2 linked regions of the Daphnia pulex genome follow. The protein of the gene in region 1 interacts with the protein of each later gene in a pairwise test. Links are inferred from orthologs where the notes say so. Each region holds a gene or a part of one and is shown on either strand. Other genes may lie near its edges.

The links. The genes of interacting proteins can lie anywhere in the genome.
Region 2: the proteins of myosin-VIIa-like (region 1) and cadherin-99C-like interact in binary tests that used the Drosophila melanogaster proteins (3 or more experiments, as listed by UniProt). The link is inferred for Daphnia pulex from reciprocal best matches to the Drosophila melanogaster genes ck and Cad99C.

The regions. Positions count from the first base shown.
Region 1 is NC_060022.1:1,965,778-1,972,458, forward strand, and holds the start of myosin-VIIa-like, read left to right. Parts: upstream 1-2,226; 5' UTR 2,227-2,437; coding exon 2,438-2,482; intron 2,483-2,848; coding exon 2,849-2,962; intron 2,963-3,226; coding exon 3,227-3,373; intron 3,374-3,446; coding exon 3,447-3,631; intron 3,632-3,779; coding exon 3,780-3,901; intron 3,902-3,962; coding exon 3,963-4,219; intron 4,220-4,304; coding exon 4,305-4,470; intron 4,471-4,558; coding exon 4,559-4,689; intron 4,690-4,748; coding exon 4,749-4,933; intron 4,934-5,002; coding exon 5,003-5,213; intron 5,214-5,294; coding exon 5,295-5,675; intron 5,676-5,755; coding exon 5,756-5,911; intron 5,912-5,987; coding exon 5,988-6,581; intron 6,582-6,649; coding exon 6,650-6,681. UniProt on the Drosophila melanogaster protein: Myosins are actin-based motor molecules with ATPase activity. Unconventional myosins serve in intracellular movements: can function in cells as a single-molecule cargo transporter.
Region 2 is NC_060025.1:3,448,242-3,455,069, reverse strand, and holds the start of cadherin-99C-like, read left to right. Parts: upstream 1-2,334; 5' UTR 2,335-2,655; coding exon 2,656-2,690; intron 2,691-3,447; coding exon 3,448-3,512; intron 3,513-3,595; coding exon 3,596-3,658; intron 3,659-3,763; coding exon 3,764-3,945; intron 3,946-4,002; coding exon 4,003-4,125; intron 4,126-4,698; coding exon 4,699-4,974; intron 4,975-5,050; coding exon 5,051-5,203; intron 5,204-5,293; coding exon 5,294-5,515; intron 5,516-5,597; coding exon 5,598-5,798; intron 5,799-5,900; coding exon 5,901-6,038; intron 6,039-6,150; coding exon 6,151-6,297; intron 6,298-6,404; coding exon 6,405-6,569; intron 6,570-6,653; coding exon 6,654-6,806; intron 6,807-6,828. UniProt on the Drosophila melanogaster protein: Cadherin that functions in epithelial morphogenesis and the intestine epithelial immune response. Essential for female fertility. Regulates the length and organization of apical microvilli in developing follicle cells and salivary glands.

The sequences.
Region 1 (6,681 bases):
CACTAAAATTGTGACGAAATGAAAGAAAAGAAAGAAACCTAACTGGACAGAAACCTTTGTAATGTGTTACTCCCCTCCAGTATTGGACATGAATATAAAGCACCCGGAGAACTCCATTTTCCACCTTGAGCTCTGTGGCTGTCAATTGGTTTTTTGTCAACCTGATAATAATAACAAACGTCCTCATTTCCATGCATAATAATAACGTACCAAAATTATTGATTTATTGCGTATTTTCTGTCGTTCTTGAGCTGCTGCTGACCGTTGAGAGTTTTTGATGGTGTTATTATTTTTTGTGGTATAGTTTTTTCTTTCTTTCTTTTTCGGACTGACAGGCGGCGGAAAATAATTGCGTGCTGTGCCGCAGTGGCGGGCAGCGGTGAATAACGGCCCGCGCGGACGACCGACGACGACGGCGGCCTTGTGTGTGGACTTTTGGACGAATTGCCACGAATCTCCAGGACTTACCAAAAAATATAAGAAAATGGTCATCGTTTCTCGGGTAAGTCATTCATTTTTTAAAAAAATTCCTAGTCATCTTGTTGTTACTTGGTTCATGGAGGAAAGAAAGAAAAGGCAACGTATGTCAGTCATGGAAATGTTGAATAATGGGCATGGCCGCTATTGAAATTGACATTTCTCCGCCGTGGGTGTTTGTGTAAATGTATTTACTTCATCACGCGGCTGCTGAGCACACGGCTGTTGTTGGCTGCCTGTTGGTCAATGACCCTCTCTCTCCCGGTGATGGTGTACCTGCGCTCTCTTCTCCACTGAGAGATGAACAGCAAAAAAAGCCAACGCCCGACACACGTAACATACATTGGTCGACCGCAGCCAGACATTCAGTAAAATTAAACAGCCGATGAAACTCAACAACGCGCCTTTCATATATCCGAAACGGAAGTTTTATTTCCGGTTTTGAATGGCGGGCGAGCGGACGTCCGGTTTTTAAAATATCGGCCGACTGATGATTCCTAATAAAGCGAAAGGGGGTTAGACATTTTTGTTTGGGTTGGAAAACATTTTTAGGAGAGAGAAAAAACAAAAACAAATCCAACTGTGAAACCCAGAACGAAACAACAAAGACAGACAGAAAAAAGTGACGCAATTGGGTCGCGCAGTGATGATTTTTTTTCTTCTTTTTCCGGTACACACATCTGCTGTTATGTGTTTAGGTTACACCACAAGAGTCACACAAGAGAAGTGAGACCTCCACCACCAAGATGTTGTTGCCTTTTCTTTGGTTATATTGTTCTTCCAGGGCCATATTGTGTAATAGCGCATGGACTAGAAGAAGAAGAAGAAGAAGAAGAAGAGACACCCACAAAAGTCAGTTGACGGAAGAAGGTTCAAAAACATGTACTGAAGGAGATAACGGGTTCGGCAACAGTCTGGGTATTTTCTCTTGGATGGTGCGACCGCAGTGTATAGTATATAGGAGGTCGTCATCGTCATTTACCACCGTGAAAAAGAATCGGAAAACAATATCGCAGCTAATGCTATACACACACACACACACGAGATGAGGGAGTGCGTGTGTGTGTCTCTACACACATGTGTCGTCTACCGCCAATGAACGTTTAACGATTAAGGACAACGTATTCTGAAAGATGCAACGACGCGGAACTAAAAGTCGAGAAAACTGAAAAAAAAGAAAAGAACCGGAGGTAAAACTGCTGGCTGAAGAACACAGAGAGGGAATCTGAATCTATTCAGCGAGTATAGTATATAGCTGTAACTTAATGTTTTATATATATTTTTCCCCTAGCTGCGACTCTCAGTGTGGCTGCCAACTCATTCAAAGGCGGTTGTTGGAATCTCTTTTCGTTGCAAGGCGTACGTGCTTTAGACTCTTGCGGCCATCCACCTGCTGTTCTTTTCTTATTATTATTACGTATACAGTATACCTTTTGGGCTCTGCGAGTGTTTCCAAATATCTACTAAGAAAAAGAAAAAGAAGTGGACACTGAGAAAACAGCTGACTGTTCAGGGCGGTAGCCAAGCAATAAGTGGAAAAATAAAAGAGAATGTAATCAAACAAGGAATGTTTTTTTCGTTGGGGGGATTTTTTCCCCAATCCTTGTGATACGCAATGTGTGTTTGGACTAGACGTCAGTTAATGAATGCCAATTGATCACGTGAACTTTGAGTCATTTTCATTTTTTTCCTTATCATTTGGGAAGTAGAGATAAGACGGTGTGCTGGCCTCTCCCTGCTCGCCATTATCACATCAAACAGTTTGTTCGCATCGAGTTTGAAGGTTTGACGTCGGTTGAATTCTCAAGTTTCTGATTATTCGGGAGAGTGAAAGTTTTGATTTTGGAAATTAAGGGCATACGTTGATTGTAGTTCAATCAAGTCACGATCGTCCATGGTCTCTCTGTGTTGTCGCCATTATTTGTCAAGTCGAGATTAACGTTGGCGGCTGGAAGAAAAGATGTCGGAAGAAGGCGATGGCTCGTCGACTCAGATTCTTACCTACGTGAGTTCCTAATTTTCCCTAGAACTGGTGGGCACTTGTTGCCGCGTCCAACTTTCCAAACTGCCCAGTGCCCATGTGTTTTGTTGTTATTTCGAGGTCAGCACGGTTTTCCCCTTGCCAAACAGAAGGTGGACATACGGGCCAATGATCATGTCAATGTCCCATTCTTATTGCACGACAATCCTCCGCTCTGCTTCGTCCACAATCCCGTTACAACTTCATTTTTGTCTGTTTTTTTTCTTTGTGAACCAAGTCCACCCCCCGTGGAGATTCGTTCCAATTTCGATGGAAAAATATAACAAAATGTTGTGACACTTGCTCGTTTAATATGATAATCAATTTGGAAATTAATTTCATTTCTATTAGGGCGACTATGTCTGGATCGAGCCCAGCACCAAACGAGAATTCGATGTGGCGATCGGGGCCCGGGTCGTTTCGGCCGAGGGCAAACGGATCCAGGTCGTCGACGACGACGGCAAAGTAAGTCTTATGTCACCTTTTTGTCTTTTATTTTTCCCCATCAGCCGTCAGCACGAAATGGTGAGGCAACAGCACCCCACCTTTTGTTTCAAACCGTTTCGAAATGCGTTGGTGACCGCAAGTCTCGATCTAAGCCACACAGATAAGAGCAATTTAGAACGTCACAACGTCAAATTGGTTTTCCCCTCCTCCTTCTTGTGTATTTATTTGCTTAAAAGTGTCATTCACAATTTTGTGTCACATTTTTTAAATTGAATTGCGCAGGAACAATGGCTGACGCCGGAACGACGCATCAAAGCCATGCATCCGACGTCCATTCAGGGCGTCCAGGATATGATTTCACTGGGTGATTTGCACGAGGCTGGTATCTTGCGCAATCTGCACATTCGCTACAATGAAAGCATCATATACGTACGTCATAGACTCATTTCATTGATTTATTTTTATGAGATGATCAATTGTTGATTTGATTTTTTGGTAACAGACTTACACCGGTTCGATTCTGGTGGCCGTCAATCCCTACCAGATTCTGCCCATTTACACGGCCGAGCAAATTAAAATGTACAGGGAGCGGAAAATCGGCGAATTGCCTCCGCACATTTTCGCCATCGGCGATAATTGCTACTCTCAAATGAAACGCTTTCGACAGGATCAGTGCATCGTTATCAGGTGAGACTTGTACATTGTTTAATAGATTACATAAAATTACGGTCGAAATTCCATTTCGTCTTGGTTGTTTCTTGATGTTCTCAATTCTCAGCGCACACCTGGGTTACCCGAGATTAATCATTTATTTCTTTTCTTATTGCGTTATCAGCGGTGAGTCTGGCGCTGGTAAAACTGAAAGTACCAAATTGATTTTGCAATACCTGGCGGCCATTAGCGGGAAACATTCGTGGATCGAGCAGCAAATCCTTGAAGCTAATCCCATCTTGGAAGGTATTTATTAAAATAATTCCCCTTAAAGTATGAAATGACGTCATTTGATTTGGTTAATTAGCCTTCGGAAACGCCAAAACTGTGCGGAATGACAACTCGTCTCGTTTCGGCAAGTACATCGACATCAGCTTCAACAAACACGGCACAATCGAAGGAGCCAATATCGAGCAGTACCTGCTGGAGAAATCGCGCATTGTGGCCCAGAATCCTGGCGAGAGGAACTACCACATCTTTTATTGCATGCTGGCCGGCATGACCAAAGAAGACAAGCAGAAATTCGATTTGCAGGATGCCAGCCAATACAAATACCTCACTGGGGTATATACAAGTTCAATTTATTCCCATTGTATTTGTTATATAGTGGAATGCGTTATTCAAAATTGGGTTTTTTAACATGTTACAGGGCAACAGCACGACGTGCCAGGGAAGGAACGACGCCAATGAATTTGCCGAAATCCGATCGGCCATGAAAGTCCTGCTCTTTACTGAGCCGGAAATTTCCGACATTCTTCGAGTTCTGGCCGCTCTTTTGCACCTGGGAAACGTTTCCTTCAAAGGAGTTGTCATCAGTAAGAAGTTCATTTAACATTTTGTTCACGACTCGGTAAACAAAATATTAACGTTGGAAACATTCTCGCCATTCTTCCCTTTGTCCAGGCAATATGGACGCTAGTGAAATTCCAGATCCTTCCAACGCTATTCGCGTCTCCAAGTTGCTGGGTGTTGATCCTCGAGAGATGGTTGACGCCCTTACCACTAAAACCATTTTCGCCCAGGGAGATTCAGTGGTCAGTTAATATTGAAATTGAATTCCCATTTGACAGAGATAATTGAATTGTATTTGCAGGTATCGAGGTTATCCAAAGTGCAAGCTGTAGATGTTCGAGATGCTTTTGCTAAAGGTATTTACGGGCGACTCTTCATCTGGATTGTTACCAAGTTGAACTGTGCCATCCGCAAATCCGACGAAATGGACACGAGCTCCATCGGAGTCCTGGACATTTTTGGTTTCGAAAATTTCAGCATCAACAGGTATTAAAGAATTGACTGGACACTAGTTGAAATGGCGGAATCTAATTTGTGTTTTTGGATCGAATAAAGTTTCGAACAGTTTTGCATCAACTACGCCAACGAGAATCTGCAGCAATTCTTCGTCCGACACATTTTCAAGTTGGAACAAGAGGAATACAATCAGGAGAATATCAGCTGGCAGCACATCGAATTCGTCGACAATCAAGACTCGCTTGATTTAATCGCAATTAAACAGATGAACATCATGGCACTTATCGATGAAGAATCCAAATTCCCAAAGGTAGTATTACTCGGTTAATTTCAAATAATTGTCTTTCGTTTAATAATTGGGTTTATATATAATTCGTGTTTTTTTTTCCAGGGCACGGACCAGACCATGTTGGCCAAGTTGAACAAGACTCACGGCAGCAACAGGAACTACGTGAAACCTCGTTCCGATCTGCAGGCCTCGTTCGGTTTCAATCATTTCGCCGGAGTCGTGTTTTACGACGCCAGAGGATTTCTGGACAAGAATCGAGATTCGTTCAGCGCCGATCTGATGCAGTTGGTCCACGTGACGTCCAACAAGTTTCTGCGAACGCTTTTCGCCGAAGACATTTCCATGGGCTCGGAGACCCGCAAAAAGGCGCCCACTCTGTCGGCCCAGTTCAAAAAATCGCTCGACTCGCTCATGCGGACTCTCAGCGCTTGTCAGCCATTTTTCGTGCGTTGTATTAAACCCAACGAGCTGAAACAATCGATGGTACAATAAAAAAAAATTTTTTTCATTAAAACAATTAATTCAATTGACACATATTAAAAATAACATTCCGGTAAATTCAGGTTTTCGATCGTGAATTATGCTGTCGTCAACTGCGCTACTCGGGAATGATGGAAACGATTCGTATCCGGCGGGCCGGCTATCCTATTCGCCACACATTCCGCGAATTTGTCGAACGTTACCGATTCCTCATTTCTGGATGCCCACCACCTCACAGAGTAACGATTTGAAATAATGAAATAATTTTAATTATCATTGCAGATGTTTTTAAAATGAATCGATTTGTAATTGCAGGTGGACTGTAGGCAAGCGACGGCCAGGATCTGTTCGGCCACACTGGGAAAGACGGACTACCAACTGGGTCAGACCAAAGTTTTTCTCAAGGATGCCCAGGATCTGTTCCTGGAACAGGAGCGCGATCGAGTCCTAACCAAGAAATTGGTCATCATCCAGCGTTGCATCCGCGGATGGATTCATAGACGTCGCTACGTTCGCCTCAGGAGCGCCGCTGTAGTCATTCAACGCCAGTGGAGACGTCAGGCCCAACGCAAGCGCTACCTGGAAATGCGTAGCGGATTCCTGCGGCTGCAGGCTCTCATCCGCTCTCGAATCCTGTCTCATCGCTTCCAGCACTTGCGCGGCCACATTGTCGGCCTGCAGGCCCGTTGCCGCGGCTATTTGATCCGTCGCCAGTTCCGCATGAAGACTCGGGCGGTCGTGGTCATCCAGAAACACGTCCGGCGGATGATCGCTCAACGCAACTACAAGAAAATGAAATACGAACAACGACATCGACTGGAAGCTCTCCGCTTGCGCGACCTGGAAGAGCGGGAGCTCAAGAAAGCCGGAAACAAACGCTACAAGGAAATTGCTGACCAACGTTACCGGGTATGACATCAATTTGATTTCCAACCTATAGTCCAGTTTATTTAATTGTTAATTATTTATTTGAACAGGAGAGGCTGATGGATATGGAACGTCAACAACG
Region 2 (6,828 bases), on another chromosome or scaffold:
TTTTTGCTCGATCCTTTGAGTCGTCGATTGAAAATGCTCCACATATCACAAGAGAATCTCTACAGTATAAGAGATATATCTTGTTATTTCTAAATCGCCCCCGGGAAACACCCTTGACACAAATCAAATTTGATTGGATCAAATTCAATTTCAAGTAGGTCGAAGAGTCTGCGTGTGAAAAAAACAAACAAAAAAGTTGCCGTTCCATTTCAATTGGTTCGAAAAGTGTCGACTGCAGGATCGCATCTCACACAGCGACAAGGTCTATTGATACCGAAATCATTAAAGAGTTCGTCGAGGACTTTGCACTCGGATCGATCCCGCATATGTGCTACATCCGTCAATTCATTTCGATCAATCGCATATATACTCGCGTCAAACTTCTAAAAAGAAGAAGAAGAAGGATCGATACGCCGACAGCAACTTTTACCGGTTACACGAACAAGGGGCGCAACTTCTTTATTTTTTGGGGTTTATTTTTCCGGGATCAGTTGCCCGTCGTATGACAGCCGACTGTGAGCTCAACACGAGTCGGCCGTTCACGTGCACTTCCGCTTTGCATGTGCAGTAGGGATTTTATTTTTTTGGGGTTGAATTCCCTACCTCCCAGATGACAAAGTCTCTCCCTGTTGTCGCTGTCAGAAACTTGGTGGTACGGGGGCGTTTTCCTTCTAAATGTCAGCCGGGGGAGTCGAGTGAATGGGATCTCGGGGAAACTGATGTGCCGGGGCGGACCAGCGACACACATCTTAGTCGAATCCCTCGTGATGTAACTTTCTGTTCATTGTAAAGACAACATATCCCGCCTCCCACACACGTTTACAATTCAATTGTTTTCCATTTATTATTGAATTACGTAAGATGTCGATTTTTAAATAAGAAAGAAAATAATGAAGCGACTTCCAGCGAATGGTTATTTAAGTTTATATAAAAAGGAGGGGGGACAACAATAAAAGAGGAACGAGGGCAGCAGAGATGGCGGAAGTCGACCTGGATTCATCCCGAAACCAGTCGTCTTTTTCTGACCGAGAAAATGAAAAAAGAATAATATCGCCAAGAGTTTTTGTTTGATGATGGCCTTCCATTTTGGATAAGGAGAAGAGAAAAACAGTTGGGAGGGAAATCATCTGATTCTCCAATTCCGTCGTGGCAGATGTTTTGCTGGGCGGCCGGATTCCGGTTCTTCTCGTTCCACCAGTTCTTTGTCGCGCATCTTCTCTATTTCGCTCACAAATATCACGAAATGTGTGGCAACGGGATCTTGTCGTCTCTCTCTGACACAGCCCCCACCATCAGTTATGTACACATTTTGTGTAGTATGTTACGTTTATTCTTTCTTTTTTCTCCTGGAGATGTTCAGTAAGCCCCCGGGCGGCGGGACCCCTACGCAACATCACGGCTAATGGCGAATGCATTTGGTTATTTTGTCAAATCAATTCCAACTGGGTCAAAAAATTAAATAATAATAAAATACAACCAGAATACTATTTCATCTTTTATTTTTCTGACCGGAGATGGAACACAATCGAATGCTCACGGTTTAACAATGTGCAAAGAGAGAAAGATAATAGACACACACATACAAAAAAAAAAGAGAAAGAAATGATTTGATTTTCCCATTCTTCTTTTATCATCGGAGGAGAATAACGTCAGTGTGCGGCGGAGCGCGGAATAGATCCGCACGCCATTTTCCGCCCAACAACAAAAAAGAGGCCGACAAATCCTCCAGCATTCTAAAAGATCCCGACGGAGTGTGTAGTCGTATTACATCGCCATAATAGTCAAAGAAAGAAATCAGGCGGCAAATTCAAAAGAAAAAAAGGAGGAGATACAACCGGCTGGATCGCGCCATTCTTATCTCATAAGATGTTGTATACTGTTGTGTACTGTACAACATCCATTGTGTCGTTATTGAAGGACGGGTGATTATATTACATACAGGAACGGCCTCGTTTTTGTTGGTTGGCAGAGAGAAAGTAACGACCCACACCAGACGGTATTAATCGAGTTAAAAGGAGAAAATTCGGATTAACTATATGTAACCTTTTTTTTCTTTTCTTTTCTACCTTGTAGGGAGAGGAAGAGTATTGAAATCTAGCGGATTCTTACGTGTGTAGAGCCCACAGGTGGGTGTCAGGTAGGTAGAAGAAGAAGAACGAAGGGGGGAAATGGCTCGGAAAAGAGGAATGAAAAGGAGAAAAAGAGAAAAATAACTGCTGCTGCTGCCTTACCATTCCTTTTGAGTCTCTCGTTTCGGTTTTCATTTGCTCCCCTCCTCCTCCTCCTGGACCCTCCAGGTATGTTCGTGTGTATAAGGACAGGTAGACAACACGGGCTGGTCGGCATTCCCCATTTGGCATTCAACAGATGCGCAGCCGAAACTCGCAGCAACTTGTTTCAACGCTACTCGCGAACAAAGTGAAGTTAATCGCCCAGTTAAGTGCGTGCGATATCCATCGGGATTCATTTCGTTGTTGAAATCATTTGCACCCGTCGTCCGTGAATCAATCATCCAACAGCCATGTGAACTATCGTGTATACCGCCAAGTGTTGTTCAATATAGTGAAAAAGAATGTTGCATCAGTGAGAAAACTTTGAATCGGAATATTTATCGTGAAAAAAAAAATTGCCAAACTATTTTGTGAAGGAGCGAGGATGGACAGGTTGCCGAGCAAGAGGAGCGCCGGCAGGTAAAGGAATCAAAGAAAAAAAAAGAAAAAAATAATGTTTATCGAAATTTAGAGAAAAACAAGTTGATGGAGAAGGGAACCGCATTGTTGAATGTGTATGTGGGGGCAGGTTTTCCAATAGGAGGAAATTTCCTAACGGTTTCTTGACGGGGCCACAAAAACCTTAAAAAAAAAAAACGAAAAGTTCATGTCGTTTCGCAAGGATCTCGTTTTCGTGTCTCTTAAAATTTATAGATTTTTTGTCGTACGGTATATTTTCCAATCATTACGTAAAAACAATGGGAAATTGGAAAGTTTTATTTTTTCAATTAAAAAACCGCGCCCCGCACATTTTTTTTTCACACCGAAATAAATTGGCCAAAAAAAAAAGATATTTGTAGAAAAATGATGAATTTTATTTATTTTTTTCGGCTGGAAGCGACGTGTGGAAACGGAAGCGTATAGTGGCAGTTTCATTTCCGTTGTTGTTGTGTCGGCATTTCTCGGTAATGTGGAATTTATTTTTTGAGGACACAACGGGGCAATGCGGAAACTTGTGTACCCCCACCACCACCATTATTGTGTGTGTGTCTATGTCTACCTGGGTCTGTGCTGGTGTGTCCAGGTCATACCACAGGAGGATCAAGTTCCCTGGTGGTCGAATAACACTCTTTTTTTTTTCACCTTTGTTGGCTGTGGGTCAATCTGACCCCATTTGAAAGAGTTTATACCGAAAGTATGAATGAATCCACAGTTATTTGTTTGTTTTTCGACCTAGGACGAGCTGCCCAGTCTTTGCTCTGGTGTTGTTGGTTTGCCTGAGTGTCGCCATTGACGCCGAACGTGAGTTTATCGTTTTATCCGGTTTTATTGTGTGTCGATTATTATTGCGGATATCAATTTTGGTTGTTATGTACTCTCCGCAGTCTGTGACATCGAATCCGGACAGTCCAACGTCATCCTGGACATTGAAGAGAGCCGCGGGCCACGTAATATTATAGTTCTATATAAGTTCCTGTCGCTTTTTTTTCTCTCTTTCGGTTGTTGTTATTTTCTTTCCTTTTATTTTTGGTGTGGAAAAAACAAACGAATAGAAACGAATCAGAGCACTCGGCCAAAAGTGCTGCCCATTGTTGGCGACGTGCCCGCCGGTGAAATCAGTCTGACTATAGCCAGTTCCAGCAATCCGAACGTGTTTGCCCTGCTGGGAAAAGAACTCAAATTGACGTCGCCGCTGGATCGCGATCACCAAGACATTTCTTCCGTCATCCTCCAAGTAACGAATCAACAACTTAATTCATTCATTATCTCACGGACAACTTTGATGACTCAGGTGTCGTGCACCAATTCGGCCACTGGCAGGCGGCGGAATATTCCCGTCATTGTCCGGATCTCGGATGTCAACGACAAGGCCCCCGTCTTCCTCAACAGCTCGTACAGCGTCACCATTCCGGAGGTATCAAACCAATTTCTAGGGTTTCCCATTTTGTTGAATTTCGTTTGTAAAGGCCTTGTTGACGGGATCGACTCAATGGTAAAAAGGAGGGTTGACTGTTGTAACCGGAAACGGTGGCCAGTGTTTCCTCCCATATCCGGCCCTTGTACGGTGGTCATTTGAAACGGCCAGCAGCAGCAGCCCGACAATGAGGAATTCAGCAGAGCGTGAACTGCTGGCCGCCATAATTTCCAACAGCTATTACAACTATTGAGAGCCCACTGACCTACTCTTTGATTCAATCAATTCGCCATTGTTGTTTGTTATATATAGTCTCCGGCCGGGGCTTCTCTCTTCTCTCTCCTTTTAATGTTGCCTGATGTCTCTCACTCAAATTTCCGGCCCAATAAGGGACCGTCATTTTCAAGTCGAAAGATGAGATAGAAAGAAAGCTTCTCCAGCTGGGCGTGTCAGCGACAATGGAGAGATGATAATAGAGACGTTATATGGAAGACGCCAATCGATAACTTGGCCTACATCTTTTGTTACATGGAATGTAACGTTGTTCTCTTTTGTTTTGTTATTGTCGCACAGGATCTGCCGGTGGGTGGGATCGTCATCCGCGATATTGAGGCTAAGGATGCGGATGCCGGAATCAACGCTCTGGTGGAGTACAAAGTGGTGCCCAATTCGCAACGAATGCGCAGCGGCGGAAACGTCAGCCTCTTCAATGAAACTAATCCGGCGTTGGATGCCTTCGATGGATTTGGCATGTTTGAATTTCCCGCCGCCCACATTCCCGTCCTGACTTTGCGCCAGCCCATCGACTACGAGTCGGTCCGTCGCTATTTGGTCACCATCGTCGCTTCGGTCAGACCAAACATTTTTCCGATTATTTGAATATAATTTCTAACCGGATTGTGATGGGAATATTAATGCGATGCAGGATCGAGCGCTGAATGCCCAGGATCGGCTCTCGTCGACGGCCACTTTGACGGTCAAAGTCAGTGACGTCGAAGACCAGCCGCCGGCCTTCCAATACGTCGGTTGTCCGCTCAACGATCGAGGCGTCTGCATCACTCCGAATTACACGACGACCGTAATTGATCGCATCCATCGATTATATCGTCACGCCCCTCCTAACATTTTTCTTGTCTTTTTTTTTATTATTATTTTTTTGTTCACGAAGATCATCAGTGGCGTCACGTCCGGTTTGTTGACGCTGAAGCCGGATCGAATTTTGGCTCTCGACACGGACCCTTCAAGCCTGGCACCGATCCGCTACACTTTCGGCCAGGGATCTCCGCCCAATTTCCGAGAGTACTTCGAAATCAATCCCAATTCCGGCTGGGTAAAGCAGATTAAGCCGGCCAATCGCTCAGTGGTCAACAAATTCGATTTGATCGTCAAGGTGAGCGATAGTCACAATTTTCGATCAAGTTAATGGCCAATTTCAGTTGCGGATGGATGACGTCAAACATTTTTTACTCCAGGCCGAAGAGATGACGTCAAAGAAGAGATCCTCGAGCGCCACGCTTAGCATTGAGGTGGGCAACGACAACAATTTCGCACCGCGGCTGGTTGCCGAAGCCCTGGAAGGTTTTGTGGATGAGAATTCGCCGGTGGGAACTCCCGTCATATCCGCACGAAGAAAGGGCCAACCTTTGCAGCTGAAAGTCGTCGAGGAAGACTCGGTATGATAGCCATCATCGATGGGGAGGGGGAAATAACTCGACGCCAATTGTGTGCTGGGCCTCTTGTAATCCAAGTTTCATTATTGCCTCGGTGTCACGTAGGAATCTGAGAATCCGCTTTCTCAATATGAAATCGAGCTGACGTCGGCCGCTTTCCGAGTCAACAAGGTTGGAATCATGGAAGTTGCTGTGCCCAATCTCGATCGTGACGCACCCAATCCATCGACCCTGACTTTCCAGGTAACGCCCATTCATCAATTGAAACCGAAAGTGGGATAAAATCGTGATCGCTTTTGTATTCTTTGATTCACGATGTGTGCTTGGGCTTTTCGCACGTTTCACGACAAAAAAGGCGATCGCTCGAAAAGCTGGAGGAGCCACTACATCACCCATTGCCATTTCGATTCGAATTTTGGACGTGAACGATAATGCCCCACGGTTTCCATCGTTTAAACCCGTCTTTCTTCAGGCGGGCGATTCGAAAAAAGTGGTGACTCAGGTGAGTGCAGTTAGCAATCTCACTCCTAGATGACGTGGTGTTCATTGTTTTTACAACTTTTCGTGTGGCCTCTTTCGCCTCGTTTGCTTGCATTTGAAAATAACTAGGTTCAAGCCGAAGACAAAGATTGGGCTGATAATGGCCGCATTGAATATGCTGTGGTGGACGTCACGAATAACGGAAAGAACAAGTTTGTCATTAATCCGCAAACCGGAGTTATTGATTCTGCTGGAGCCCTGAAACCTGGGGAGAAATTTACACTAACTCTCCAGGTTTGTCTAAAACTACTTTGCAGTTTGCCTAAAATTTTTCTCCCTAAATCTGATGATTTAATCACTTTCCATCTCCACACACAGGCAACAGATGGAGGGGGTAAATCGTCTTTGGGGCTGCTGGAAGTCATCATCATTCCAGGACCGAACATTCAAGCACCAGTTTTTACTAAAGACTCGTATGAAATTTCTGTTGATGAGAGCTCTCCTGTCAATTCTCTTGTCTACACTTTTCAGGTAACTTTGGGATTATTCAAAC